Callithrix jacchus: one gene and its partners. The protein of the gene in region 2 interacts with the protein of the main gene of each other region in a biochemical or structural test. Links are inferred from orthologs where the notes say so. Each region holds a gene or a part of one and is shown on either strand. Other genes may lie near its edges.

The links.
Region 1: the proteins of SNTB1 (region 2) and GUCY1A2 interact in a test that uses a peptide from one of them, tested with the Homo sapiens proteins (2 studies listed by IntAct, with this or other methods). The link is inferred for Callithrix jacchus from reciprocal best matches to the Homo sapiens genes SNTB1 and GUCY1A2.
Region 3: the proteins of SNTB1 (region 2) and MAPK12 interact in a test that uses a peptide from one of them, tested with the Homo sapiens proteins (2 studies listed by IntAct, with this or other methods). The link is inferred for Callithrix jacchus from reciprocal best matches to the Homo sapiens genes SNTB1 and MAPK12.

Annotation. Positions count from the first base shown.
Region 1 is NC_133511.1:6,813,091-6,817,604, reverse strand, and holds part of GUCY1A2 (guanylate cyclase soluble subunit alpha-2), read left to right. Parts: intron 1-2,785; coding exon 2,786-3,504; intron 3,505-4,514. UniProt on the Homo sapiens protein: Has guanylyl cyclase on binding to the beta-1 subunit. Isoform 2 acts as a negative regulator of guanylyl cyclase activity as it forms non-functional heterodimers with the beta subunits.
Region 2 is NC_133517.1:76,824,916-76,829,429, forward strand, and holds part of SNTB1 (beta-1-syntrophin), read left to right. Parts: intron 1-1,857; coding exon 1,858-2,048; intron 2,049-4,514. UniProt on the Homo sapiens protein: Adapter protein that binds to and probably organizes the subcellular localization of a variety of membrane proteins. May link various receptors to the actin cytoskeleton and the dystrophin glycoprotein complex.
Region 3 is NC_133502.1:218,834,273-218,838,715, reverse strand, and holds part of MAPK12 (mitogen-activated protein kinase 12), read left to right. Parts: intron 1-653; coding exon 654-712; intron 713-1,743; coding exon 1,744-1,855; intron 1,856-1,973; coding exon 1,974-2,003; intron 2,004-2,293; coding exon 2,294-2,341; intron 2,342-2,821; coding exon 2,822-2,936; intron 2,937-3,135; coding exon 3,136-3,207; intron 3,208-3,966; coding exon 3,967-4,046; intron 4,047-4,129; coding exon 4,130-4,208; intron 4,209-4,290; coding exon 4,291-4,443. UniProt on the Homo sapiens protein: Serine/threonine kinase which acts as an essential component of the MAP kinase signal transduction pathway.

The sequences.
Region 1 (4,514 bases), on a different chromosome or scaffold from region 2:
TATAAAATTGCCATGCTTAATATTTTAATATAATATTTAAAAAGTTCAACGTTTTTAGTGATACAAATGTTACTTTAGCTTCTGGTGTTCCTTAGCATCGTCATTGGAAAATGTCCAGTCATTGCAGTACCAAGTTCCTTTATAGAGCAGCAAGGTTTTCTGGCTGAGAGATTGCTGTGCATAGAGTAGCTTTTATTTTGTTGCCTGTGGTGAACTTGTTACTTTCTGGATGATTCTATGAGATCCTGGCATTAGACAGAGAACATAAGCTTACTGCATTATCTTTACATTTGTGTGCATGATAGCTGTGAGGGCATTTTCAATGTTATGAGAAAGATAGAAGAACTTCTCTTTTTCTCTTCAATGCATACGGGCCCTAACTCTTTTGAAAATACAATTCTTCAAAGTTTAGAAGTGATCCATGGAAGATTCTGAGTGGCACACGAAATATTGTAGTTCAGCATATATGGTCAGTTTATAGGAATTTTTATTTACTCTGTATTTAGTTTTTAGTACGAATTTCATAACTGGAAGATTTCATAGCAAGAGAGGACTGTCACTGAATGTGTATATAAATTTCATTTGTATGTTAGAGTTTTCTAGTTACACGCAGTGATGGCGACGTAAGGATTTGGCATAGGAAGAAGTTATAGCGAAGGAAGTGAGAATTAATGTTCAGAGAGGTAACAGTCAAGCCGGGAGAGTACTGTTTGATAAGCCAGAAGATAGGAGGAAGAGATGATGAACAGTGTCAAATGAAAGGAAAAACAGCAAACAAGGTTAAGTAGGATAAGGACGAAACAGTACATTGGGTTAAGTATTTATGAAAGCTGTTTCAACAGAGCAGTCACAACAAGAGCCAGATGGCAGCGAATATTGTTTAGCTTGTTTTCTACACCAGGGAGCTGGACAGATGAGTACTATTATTATCAATTCTGGCTGACATTATTGTTAGTGAATGCAACGTATGTTGAAGAGCAGTCTTGTAACCTGGCAATGTGAGATGAGTGGTGATATTTTTATCTAAATAGGTGACTTTTTCAGCGAGTCTTGAGCATCCAATCCATGAAACCCAAATTAATTTGAAATGCTTGTTAATAAAGAGACTCTTTCTCACTTAGGTTTTCTCCTCATTTTCCTATCACATTGATTATAAGAGGTTCTTTGTCAAAATGACTTCTTGGCTACCACCATTTTTAGACTCCAGTAACCTCTTAAAGAGTATTAGATGTGCTTGGACTCTAGTTTAAAAATAATATTATGGACTCTGTTCTTTTGCCTCACTTCTGGTTGAGAGGAACACTCAGGGAGTGATAAAAGTAGAAAAGGAACTGAGCCGTAGACTGTCTAGATTGCTCTGCACTCTGACAGGGCACTAGCAAAGTAACCTGTCTCTTTCCAGTTCTGCCTGATTTGTAGAACTTCCTAATGAGATGAAGTAATAGGGCAAGAAAATATGAATATGTAAACTACATATATTGATTTCAACCGATGTTAAAGGAGGAGCAATGGAGTGACTTTAGGTAGAAGCTGTCTTTAATATGCAGACCAAAATCTTTTGTATGTGTTCTAGTCCTCCGTGGCACATGCATTCCCTCATTTTTCCTCAGATCGTCCTCAAGGGTGGATCTGGTGATCACACGTGATCCTGCTTCTTATTACTAAATGACATATTATGCACACTTAATTATTTTTCATTATAATATCTAGTACTATAAGGTGGAATCCCTTTTGCCAGGGCATCAGGCAGCGAGTATATATGGAGAAAACTTAACAGCAAGCTTTAATCCTTTCTCATCAGATTCCTACTCCCTTCTTGGCGGCCCTCACTTTTGTGGATGAAAGAATGCAAATCATTCTGTAGTTCTGCCATTATTATTTTCTTGTTTTGTCTCCTTTTCCCTGAGGTCTAGCTGACCTGCATGACTTTCCCGGAGATTGCTAATATAAGGCTTTTATTTCCACCAGACAGCTTGATGCTTCTCTTCGCTCATGTGCCATAGATTTACTCTCTGGTTTATATTTTCCACTTAATACATGCATTTTGATAAGAAGTAAGATGATAATATGGATGGTATGTGGATATGATATGTAGGCAACTTGGATATTCTATGAAGAATGGGGAAGTCAAATTAAGAAAGAGAAATACATTATGTGTGATAACTACTGCAAGGCTATTGAAATGTGAACAGCTAGATTAGCAGCATTTTAAAAGTTGATGCTCTGGGAGTTAGTGGGATGGAAGGGATAAACTGAGGATTTTTAAGGCAGTGAAAATGCTCTGTGTGCTATGATAATAGTGTATACATTTGTTTAAGCCCACAGCATATACAGTGTTAAGAGTGAACCCTAATGTAAACCATGGACTTTGGATGATGATAAAGCATCATGTAGGTTCACAGATTGTAATAAATGTACCACTCTGGTGGGGGATGTGATAATGGGGCAGGCTGTGCGTGTGTGGGGGCAGAGAGATTTGGGAAATAACTGTGCCTTCTGCTCAATTTTGCTGTGAATCTGAAACTGGTCTAAAAATATGTAGTCTATTTAAAAACAAACAACAAGGTTGTTCATTAACATTTTAGAAGCATCCTGAAGATGAACTGAAATTTAATTTTTCTGATTTGAGATGAGTGCATTAACCTATGTGGAAATTTGTGGGTCCAAGAAACATAACCTTTGTCACTTCACTCAGTAGTTACCTCTTTTGATAAACATTTAAAAACCTATAAATTCAATTATTTATATTAAACTTCACTAACATTTGCTTCCCGTTTACCTCTAGGTTTGAAGTTTGAGGAAATTCAAGAAAGGTTTGGCGAAGAGTTCTTTAATACATGCTTCGATGAGAATGAGAGAGTCCTTCGAGCTGTGGGTGGCACTTTGCAGGACTTCTTCAACGGCTTCGATGCTTTGTTGGAACACATTAGAACTTCTTTCGGAAAACAGGCCACGCTGGAGTCACCATCCTTCCTATGCAAAGAGCTCCCTGACGGTACTCTCATGCTCCACTACTTCCACCCTCACCATATTGTGGGGTTTGCAATGCTGGGGATGATTAAGGCTGCAGGAAAGAAGATCTATCGGCTGGACGTGGAAGTGGAACAGGTTGCGAATGAGAAGCTGTGCTCTGATGGTTCAAACCCAGGCAATTGTAGCTGTCTTACTTTCCTTATCAAAGAATGTGAAAATACTAAGATCACAAAGAACCTTCCCCAGGGACCTTCCCAAGTTCCTGCGGACCTCAGAATTAGCATCAACACCTTCTGCAGAGCCTTCCCTTTCCACCTGATGTTTGACCCCAGCATGTCAGTCCTGCAGCTGGGGGGAGGTCTCAGGAAGCAGCTTCGGTGTGACACTCACAAAGTGCTCAAGTTTGAGGACTGCTTTGAGATCGTGTCTCCAAAGGTCAGTGCCACCTTCGAAAGGGTCCTGCTGCGACTGTCTACCCCGTTTGTGATTAGAACCAAGCCTGAGGCTTCTGGCTTTGAAAATAAAGACAAGGTAAGTGGCTGTGGACTTGAGATGGGTGATGGGAACTAGAAGAGTGGATAATTATTTCAGTAAATTACATGCTGGCTGTACTTGTAATTATTTGGGCAAGAGAGCATAAAGTGTCATTTAGAAGATTACTGGTCCCTGGATGTATGTAAAAAGATTTGGCCCAATTCCCAGCCATTTTGCATAGTGTCTGCCGCCTCCATTAATTTATTTCAGCATATAAAAAGAAGACGTTTATTAATACTAGCTATAGCAATTACAAAAATGATAGAACTCACTAAAAACCTAATAATATAAACTCATGAATATTTCCACTGACTAGAGTCAAACCATGAGAAATACAGCATTTCAACATTGTGGGGTGTGACTGCAGTATCTTTAAATATATATGCTAAAAGCTATCTTCACTTTGAATATGTTCTTTTCTAAATTTCGTAATCTAGGAACATCTGGTTTACATCCTATTTTTGTCTTAATATGCACAATAATGTGTTCCCTAAAAGTTGAGAATTGACTATCTCAAGACTTCTTTTCTATTTAAATTTTAGTATTAAAATACAAATTCATCACTTTAGAACATGATCCCGGCCAGGCGCGGTGGCTCACGCCTATAATCCCAGCACTTTGGGAGGCCAAGGTGGGTGGATCACGAGGTCAAGAGATTGAGACCATCCTGGTCAACATGGTGAAACCCCGTCTCTACTAAAAATACAAAATATTAGCTGGGCATGGTGGCGCATGCCTGTAGTCCCAGCTAGTCAGGAGGCTGAGGCAGGAGAATTGCCTGAACCCAGGAGGCGGAGGTTGCGGTGAGCCGAGATCGCGCCATTGCACTCCAGCCTGGGTAACAACAGCGAAACTCTGTCTCAAAAAAAAAAAAAAAAGAACATGATCCCTAGTTGAGAGAATACAGTGAAGACCGGAAAATTGTTTGTGGATTTCTTTGAATCTCTTTTGGGAAATGTGGGTTATAAATTATAAATAATTCATAGAAAGATACCAGAAATAAGTCT
Region 2 (4,514 bases):
CTGTGCCAGTCTCCGTGCCCAGCTCATAAGCTTAAAGAGCAGGACTCTTTTTCCCAAACATAGTGAGAATCCCAGGTAAAAGCTGGCACCGTACCTGCTCAGGAGGTTTTTGGTTTGTTTCTTTGGATCAGAGGGCACTATGTGCATACCACCGCTGAGATTCCTGGATACCACACCAGGAGTGCTCTTCATGGAAGATGCCACATCTGAGGTCTGTTAGCAACAGCAGCTTTTCCAGGACCCAAGATCATCAGGGGAATTAAAAGAACACCCCTCTCAATTTCTAGAAAGAGATTTGCTAGACTTTTAAAAATTAGATTATTTTTAAACCACTCATTCCTGACTTACGTGTTTACATTAGTTAACGTAGATAATGTCACAGGCCATGCTGTCTTCTTTCACCATGTGGTAGATGTGTGTGTGTGAGTGTGAGTGTGTGTGTGTGTGTGTGTGTTGATGATGATGAGGATGATGATTCAAAGGTGGCTTTATTTATTTATTCATATTTAAAAAAATTTTTCTTTTAGATAGAGTCTTGCTCTGTCGCCCAGGCTAGAGTACAGTAGAGCAATCTCTACTCACTGTAACCTCTGCCTCCCAGGTTCAAGCTATTCTCCTGTCTCAGCCTCCAGAGTAGCTGGGACTATAGGTGCACACCACCACATCTGGCTAATATTTTTATTTTTAGCAAATACAAATTGGTTGGGGTTTTAGCATTTAATATTTTAGCAAATACAAATTTGATGGGGTTACACCATATTGACCAGGCTGGTCTTGAACTTCTGACTTCAAGTGATCCACCCACCTTGGCCTCCCAAAGCTGGGATTGCAGGTGTAAGCCAGCGCACCCTACTGGCCTTATTTATTTAAACCAACGTTCTGGTTTTTTTCTGGCTTGAGGCAAGGCCCACAGGGCTGTTGGAAGGCCAGTACACCTACAGACCTGTGTGTTGTCAGATGACTAGATAAGGACTAGAACCCAGATAACATTCAGTAGATCCCAGCAAAAAGAATTTCTTTCCATTTAATTTCCTTAGTTCTATGGGGCTTCTGTTTTTTTTCTTTTTAAGACAGAGTCTCGCTCTGTTGCCAGGTGCCAGGCTGGAGTGCAGTGGCGCGATCTCAGCTCACTGCAACGTCTGCCTCCCGGGTTCAAGCAGTTCTCCAGCCTCAGCCTCCCAAGTAGCTGGGACTATAGGCGGTTGCCATCATACCCAGCTAATTTTTGTATTTTTAGTAGAGACGGGGTTTCACTATGTTGGCCAGGATGGTCTCCATCTCTTGACCTCATGATCCGCCCACCTCGGCCTCCCAAAGTGCTGGGATTACAGGTGTGAGTCACCGCGCTCGGCTATGGGGCTTTTTAAAATTACAACACCGGCCAGGCACGGTGGCTCACGCCTGTAATCCCAGCACTTTGGGAGGCCAAGGCATGTGGATCACGAGGTCAAGAGATGGAGACCATCCTGGTCAACATGGTGAAACCCCGTCTCTACTCAAAATACAAAAAATTAGCTGGATATGGTGGTGCGTGCCTGTAATCCTAGCTACTCAGGAGGCTGAGGCAGGAGAATTGCTTGAACCCAGGAGGCGGAGGTTGCGGTGAACCAAGATTGTGCCATTGTACTCCAGCCTGGGTAACAAGAGCGAAACTCCGTCTTAAAAAAAAAAAAAAAAAAAAAATTACAGCACCAAAATAAATCCAAGGAGAATATTTTCATGAACAATGACTGTGTTTTTATAGTAGTAAGAATCTTGTGGCTGATCACTGGGACTGAGGAGGCATGAAGTGAGTGGGAAAATGGATTGATCGCCGTGGTTCATACCTGTCTCTTTTTCTCTCTCTTTCTCTCTCAGCTTGCACCTACAAAAACCAGGAGTGCCGTTTGACCGTACATTATGAGAATGGATTTTCTATTACCACTGAACCACAGGAGGGTGCCTTTCCCAAGACAATCTTACAGTCTCCTTACGAAAAGCTCAAAATGTCTTCAGATGATGGAATCAGGATGCTGTACTTAGATTTTGGAGGCAAAGATGGAGAGATTGTAAGTGTACTTTTCTTTAGACAGTGTGATTTCATATATTAATATTTCATTTTGCAACATAATGCTGCCTTACTCTTATTCGGCATTTGACTGCTAACGAAATGCTTGCAAGCCCATGTTTTATTTGATCCTTGAAAAACAGTGATTAGGTTCAATTATTTCAAAGTTCTTTTCTTCAGTCTCATTTTCCAGTAGAAGACTACATAAATATTTGAGTCAAAGGAAATAATCCTTTACAAAGTTTGATTAAATTCTTATCAAATAGGGTCTCATCAGCTTAAAAAATGTACCCCGCATTTTTAAAAAGTATCAAGCATCTCGTATAACCTTGGCATTGTAAGAGATGTTAGGGAATGCAGTGAACTAAAATACATGGTCCCTACCGTCAGGGAAGTCTCTGAGGAGAGGACATACAGCAGAGAGACAGTAGGGGCCAGATGAGGGGCAGAGCAAGAGGGCAGCCAGAAAATGAAAAGAAACTGCTCAACTCCATTGGAGTCCACAGGGGGCCGGACAAAGGCACTGAAGCATGGAGCCGATGTCAAACACTATGCAACAAAATTAGCAAATATATCAGTTATAGTAACATACTGCTCATCTCAATGCAAGTTAGTCCATGTGTTTGAATTCATAATTTCCTGAGATGGTTTCTGCCTGCCATAATGAAAAAGTATATGACTTCACTTGCACAGAAGGGTGAATTGCACACTCTTATGCTGTCTAGCAAGTGTTGTCCTTGGCATTTCAGGAGAACATATCATCTCATTTAAGCTGTCAAATGTAGAACTTCAAAGAGGACTTTGATGTCGTAATGACTAGTCTCTGTTTAGGTCCTCCCTAGCCACTGGGTTAGTCAGTGAATTTGCTGGCTTTCAGGAAGGAAAGGGCAGAACAGGCTTAACAGGGCATAGGGACTTTTTACGTCAAAATTGCAGCCCCACTCTTCTGAATGATGCTATACTTCTGGCACCAAAACAGTGCCAAATATCTTGCCGTGAGTGCCACAGGCAGTCATGATGAAGGCCATTCCCTGTGGCTGACACTTGGTTTGCTGACATTCACTTTCTGAGAGTAATTTCTAGCCAAGCATATTTCTAACTTTTAAAATGGATCCACAGAATTTTTTGTTGAATGTTTGTTTGTATGTTTCAATCAGTAGGTTCAGTGTGAGGCACCTGCTTGGAAATAAAGTAGTGACTTAAAAGCCCGTTTTACTAAGAATATTTCTAATTCAGTTGCTGCTCTATCAATCACCCATTGTGTACTTTTTCCTAAAGGTGACTACTCTCTAGCAAAGTAGAAAAGAACAAGAATCAGTCTCCTGCTTTATCCATGGCTTAAAAATTCAAGGCTATTTTTGCCCACCAGGAAAATCACTTATGTCTAAATTTCAGCCTTTCTGCCTGTAATTACAGCCTGACTTGGAAGATTTAGGAAGGACTGATTTTTACTGCCAGTACATTGAGTTGATGAGCTCCAATTCAGACACAGCCCCCTTTCCCTCTACCCGCTATGTCCGTTTAAACAATCCCAGGAGATGGGCCGCAGACCTTTCCAGTATGGAGGGGGAAGAGACAGAAGATGAGCTGTAGGAAATGCAATAAACTGAGGGTCAAGACCTGGGCTCTCTTTCTGAGTCTGCGACAAACTCACCAACTCTCTTGGGAAAGTGCTTTCATTTCTTTCTATCTAGGTGTCCCCATCCATAAAATACAGGGATTGAAGTAGCTAATCTTTAATATTCCTTTCAAAAGTTGCATTCCATGTTAGTGACATAGAATGTTGTGGTTAAGCCCTGGCTCTGGCCTTAGACAGACTTGCATTTGAGTCCATGCTTTCTATTTACTATAAGATCTATATTTCAAAGTTTCATAACTTCCTGGATCTTAGTTACCCCACTTAAAAAAATGGAGATAATTACAATAGCTTCCTCATACGGATTCTGTGAGAGAGAATTAAATAAGATAGTGGGCAGAAGATATGTAGCACAGTGCCTGGCTCATAAGGAGTACAACCTTAACTTTGGTAGGTGTGATATGCTCAGATTGTTCTGATTCTCCAATAATGTCATCATCAGAACAAAACTGGGGACAGCAGAAAAGCATTGAGAACAGCAATTTCCCTATATTAGGTCAGATGATAAAATTCAACTTCTGAAGGACTCTCTTACCCAGACTATGTCTTGCATACGCCAGATTCTCAAGGAATACACCAAGAAGCATAAGACTTCAGATGGTGCCTTCATGGAGATGTGACATGCGCGCTTAAACAGTTCAAGAGTAGCGGAGGTTGGCAGCACAGCTGCTTAGCGTGGCTTCTGTGTTTTACAGTTTACGAGGAAGTTCCACATATCGTAGCTCCTCGAATCCTCTAATGACTCTGTGAGTTAGTAGGGCTGAGGAGAATTTTAGGAGACTTACCCAAGATTGTATGCCTAAAAAGCATCAGAAGCAGGATTCAAACCTA
Region 3 (4,443 bases), on a different chromosome or scaffold from region 2:
CCTCGGCCACCTGGCCTCCCTCCCTTTGTTCCTCAAACTCTCCCAGTGTTTTCCCTCCTGCCTCGGCTACTCTGTGTGTGCCCTCTGCCAGTTTCCCTCTGTCCACACGTCCACCTGCTCCTCTGTCCTTGGCTATGCAAAACTCCAGGCCTCTCTGGGACCCTGGAGGCCCTGTCACCCCAAAATGCTGAGGTGGCAGTTATCTTATGACCTGTCCACTGTCCGTCTCCCCAACCAGGGGCGTTGTGGGGACCAGGTCTGACTGGTCACGGTGCTGCCTGCCTGGGCCTCTCTCCCTATAGCGCTGTCCTCACCCTGGGCCTGGGTCTGCTTGGTTGGGGAGAAGATGGGAGAAAGGGTCAAGGGGCAGGAGCCCTTTGGATGGCAAGCCAGCCTAGGCTTGGGGTTGCCCCTCCCCCAGAAGATCCCGGCTGTCACCATCCAAAAATAACCTGTCTGTGGGTATGTGTGCCAGGGCTGGGCCACACTGCCAGTGGCCAGTGGGCAGAGCCAGGCCCTTTGGACAGTGGGGCATGACAACAACAGCTGCAGAGGGGGTTTTCTGCCCAGAGGGCTGTGCCACTCTTGGGGGGGTGCCCCAGCCCATGTCCTCTACGGCACCCTCAACCCTACCTGCCCTCCCCCCGCACCAGGTGATTGGGCTGCTGGACGTATTCACTCCTGATGAGACCCTGGATGACTTCACGGACTTGTGAGTGCTGACCTGGGCTGGCTGCCAGGCACAAGGGGTGTTGGGCAGCTCTGGGTACTGGCTTCAGGTTCTAGGTTGGCATGGGGCTCTCTTCCTGCAGGCTGAGTGGGGGATGCACATTGCCCAGCCCCTCCCCCACATGCTCCTGGGACCCACGGGCACTGGCACTGCCCAGCAGAGCTGGGGCTGCCGCCTCCCTCCAAGTCTGGCACCTGGGCCCTCTCCAGCACTGGAGGTGTGAACCTTGGACCTGAGCATTTGTTAACAGGAAGGTCCCGTGCCTGGGACCTTCCTGGCACCAAGTGTGTGGCCTGTAATGGGAGCTGCTGACCTTTTCCGACGGGTACAGGAGAAGCAGTAGGGAGGACCTGCCCTGCCCGTGCCCTGTAGCCGACCACCCTGAAACTCACACCTTGTCGGCCAAGAGTGAAGGTCCAGGCTGAGGAAGAGCTGGAGAAGGCAGCAGGCTCCTCTCGCCTGACTTGCAGAGGTCAAGGACCCACGCTGGCCTCAGTGGCCACTGAGAGGGGCTATACCATGCTTCTGTGTCTGTCCACCAGCCCAGCTGACCCCACTGACCCAGATGCCTTGTGAGCCCCTAACACCTCCAGGCACCTCCCTCGTCTCTGGCACAAAGTTCTGAAGTTGAAACCTGACTGCTTCCCTCCCCTGCCTGTGAAGACTTGAGCCCTGCTGCCTCCACCACGCAGCCTCAGCCCCTAGACTGGCACGCAGGGCACTCAGTGGAGGGTTCAAAAACCCCAAAGTGCATCCTCCACTCTGCCTGACAGTCCTCGGGGTGGGAGGGAGGTGTGAGCATTGCTGGCAGTGATGGGGTTGGGTCTGGATGGAGCCTGGCACTACAAGGTGCAGCTTCGAGGATGCCGAGGCCAGTGGGGATAGGTGCTGCAGGGGGATCTTCCCAGAGGCACTTGCTGGAGCGGGATGGGTCTGAGCCTGGGCCTGCTGGGTGGGCCTCCAGGATGCAGAGGCTGGCCCTGCCTACTGATGGCACCCGGCCCCTTCCACAGTTATCTGGTGATGCCATTCATGGGCACTGACCTGGGGAAGCTCATGAAGCACGAGAAGCTGGGAGAGGACCGGATCCAGTTCCTCGTGTACCAGATGCTGAAGGGGCTGAAGGTATGGACCCCGGGGGAGGCTGCAGGGAGGTGGCAGGGCCTGGTGGCCGGGTGGAGGAGGGTCTTGTGGCTCTGAGACCTTGGTACACTGATGCCTGCCCAACCCTCTGCCCCCACAGTATATCCACGCTGCCGGCATCATCCACAGAGTGAGTCCTGGAGAGGAAGCCACCCATCAGCCCTCTCCTGGCGCAATTTCCCCGCCTCCACGTCCCACCTGTGAGGATCTCACAGGGTCTGGGGGGGACTGAGCCATGCCCCATGCACAGCCCCTGTTGGGAGCCTGCCTGGTGTCCAGGTCCCTCCCTCCATCCTTGAAGGGCTGCAGAGAGCAAGGGGGCCAGGTCTGGTGGCCCTGTCTCTAGGTCCCACCCAGGCTCTTGGCTGTGCCCATGCCTGGGAGGGTGGGACACAGTGGCCACCTTTCCTCTGCCCCCAGGACCTGAAGCCTGGCAACCTGGCTGTGAATGAAGACTGTGAGCTGAAGGTTTGTGCAGCAGGCCCTGAGCTGGGGCACGGGCTCCCTCAGATCTACCATCTATCTACCTGTCCTCAGGCCTGGGCAGGGGACCTGATCCCAGACTCTAGGCAGTAGCTGAGGAGCGGGTGGGTGGTTGAGCCCCAGGAGGCCGTGGTACAACCCATTGCCATACCTGCAGTGGGTGAGGGTGGGAGGCGCCCCCAGGCCCCTGCCTGGTCCAGGGCAGGGCTGAGGCCTTGTCAGGCAGCAGGTGACAGCAGGGAGAGGGCACCTGCTCTGGAGGGCAGCTGGGCTCAGTGCATTGGCCACAGCGAGGAGCTCAGGGCAGTTTGGGGTCTGGGGCTGTGGCCTCAAGCCCTAGAAGGTTGTCAGGAGGTCCCCGATTGGGGGGTTCAAGTCCAGCCCTCTTGGGGTCTCCTACATTATGGGTGGCCTGACCACTCCTTGGGAGTGCCCTAGACCCCACTTCCCCAATTTTTCCCACAGATCCTGGACTTTGGCCTGGCCAGGCAGGCCGACAGCGAGATGACTGGGTATGTGGTGACTCGGTGGTACCGGGCACCTGAGGTCATCTTGAATTGGATGCGATACACACAGACGGGTGAGGAGCTGCCCAGAGATGTGGGCCTCTCAGGCTGCACCATCTGCTTCCCCTCTTCACGGAGAGCCCCTGGTGGCTGCTTCCAGGGAGGCTGTTGAGCTGGGGTGGGAGCCGGGCGAGTGGGCTGTGTCAGTGTCTCCTCCCTTCCTGTCTCATTCTGGCCCCCTGCCCACGGAGCTGACCAGGGCTTCTATCTCAGTGGACATCTGGTCTGTGGGCTGCATCATGGCAGAGATGATCTCAGGCAAGACACTGTTTAAAGGCAGCGACCGTATCCTCCAGCAGCGGGGCGGCACGGGGCAGGTGGGGCTGGCTCCTGCCCACGTGGAGGGTATTGGGGGAGGATGGCTGCTGCCCAGGTGGAGGGTATTGGGGGGGAAAATGGCTTCTGCCCAGGTGGAGGGTATTGGGGGAGGATGGCTCCTGCCCAGGTGGAGGGTATTGGGGGGGGAAATGGCTTCTGCCCAGGTGGAGGGTATTGCGGGAGGATGGCTCCTGCCCAGGTGGAGGGTATTGGGGGGGAAATGGCTTCTGCCCAGGTGGAGGGTATTGCGGGAGGATGGCTCCTGCCCAGGTGGAGGGTATTGGGGGGGAAATGGCTTCTGCCCAGGTGGAGGGTATTGGGGGGGAAAATGGCTCCTGCCCAGGTGGAGGGTATTGGGGGGGAAATGGCTTCTGCCCATGTGGAGGGTATTGGGGGAGGATGGCTGCTGCCCAGGTGGAGGGTATTGGGGGGGGAGTGGCTCCTGCCCAGGTGGAGGGTATTGGGGAAGGATGGCTCCTGCCCAGGTGGAGGGTATTGGGGGAAGTGGCTCCTGCCCAGGTGGAGGGTATTGGGGAGGGAATGGCTTCTGCCCAGGTGGAGGGTATGGGGGGGATGGCTCCTGCCCAGGTGGAGGGTATTGGGGGGGGGTGGAATGGCTCCTGCCCAGGTGGCAGGTATTGGGGGTTGGGAATGGCTTCTGCCCAAGTGGGGGTGGTGAAGGTCCCAATCTCTGGCACCCGAGCTGTGCTCCTGACCTCAGTACAGACCTGGACCAGCTGAAAGAGATCATGAAGGTGACAGGAACGCCTCCAGCTGAGTTTGTGCAGCGGCTGCAAAGCGATGAGGTCAGTGGTCAGTGGGGCGCTTGGTGGGATTGGGGGCAGACTCAGGCCTCGGTGCTGGCCCCTCACCCTTTCTTCCCACACAGGCCAAGAACTACATGAAGGGCCTCCCTGAGTTGGAGAAGAAGGATTTTGCCTCCATCCTGACCAACGCAAGCCCTCTGGGTAGGGCTGGCTAGCGTGGGGGCCACAGGGTGCTGTAGTGTGGGACCTCCTGAGGTCTGGCCTGACATACCTTCCCCCACAGCTGTGAACCTCCTGGAGAAGATGCTGGTGCTGGACGCGGAGCAGCGGGTGACGGCAGCTGAGGCGCTGGCTCACCCCTACTTTGAGTCCCTGCACGACACGGAAGACGAGCCCCAGGCCCAGAAGTATGATGAGTCCTTTGACGATGTGGACC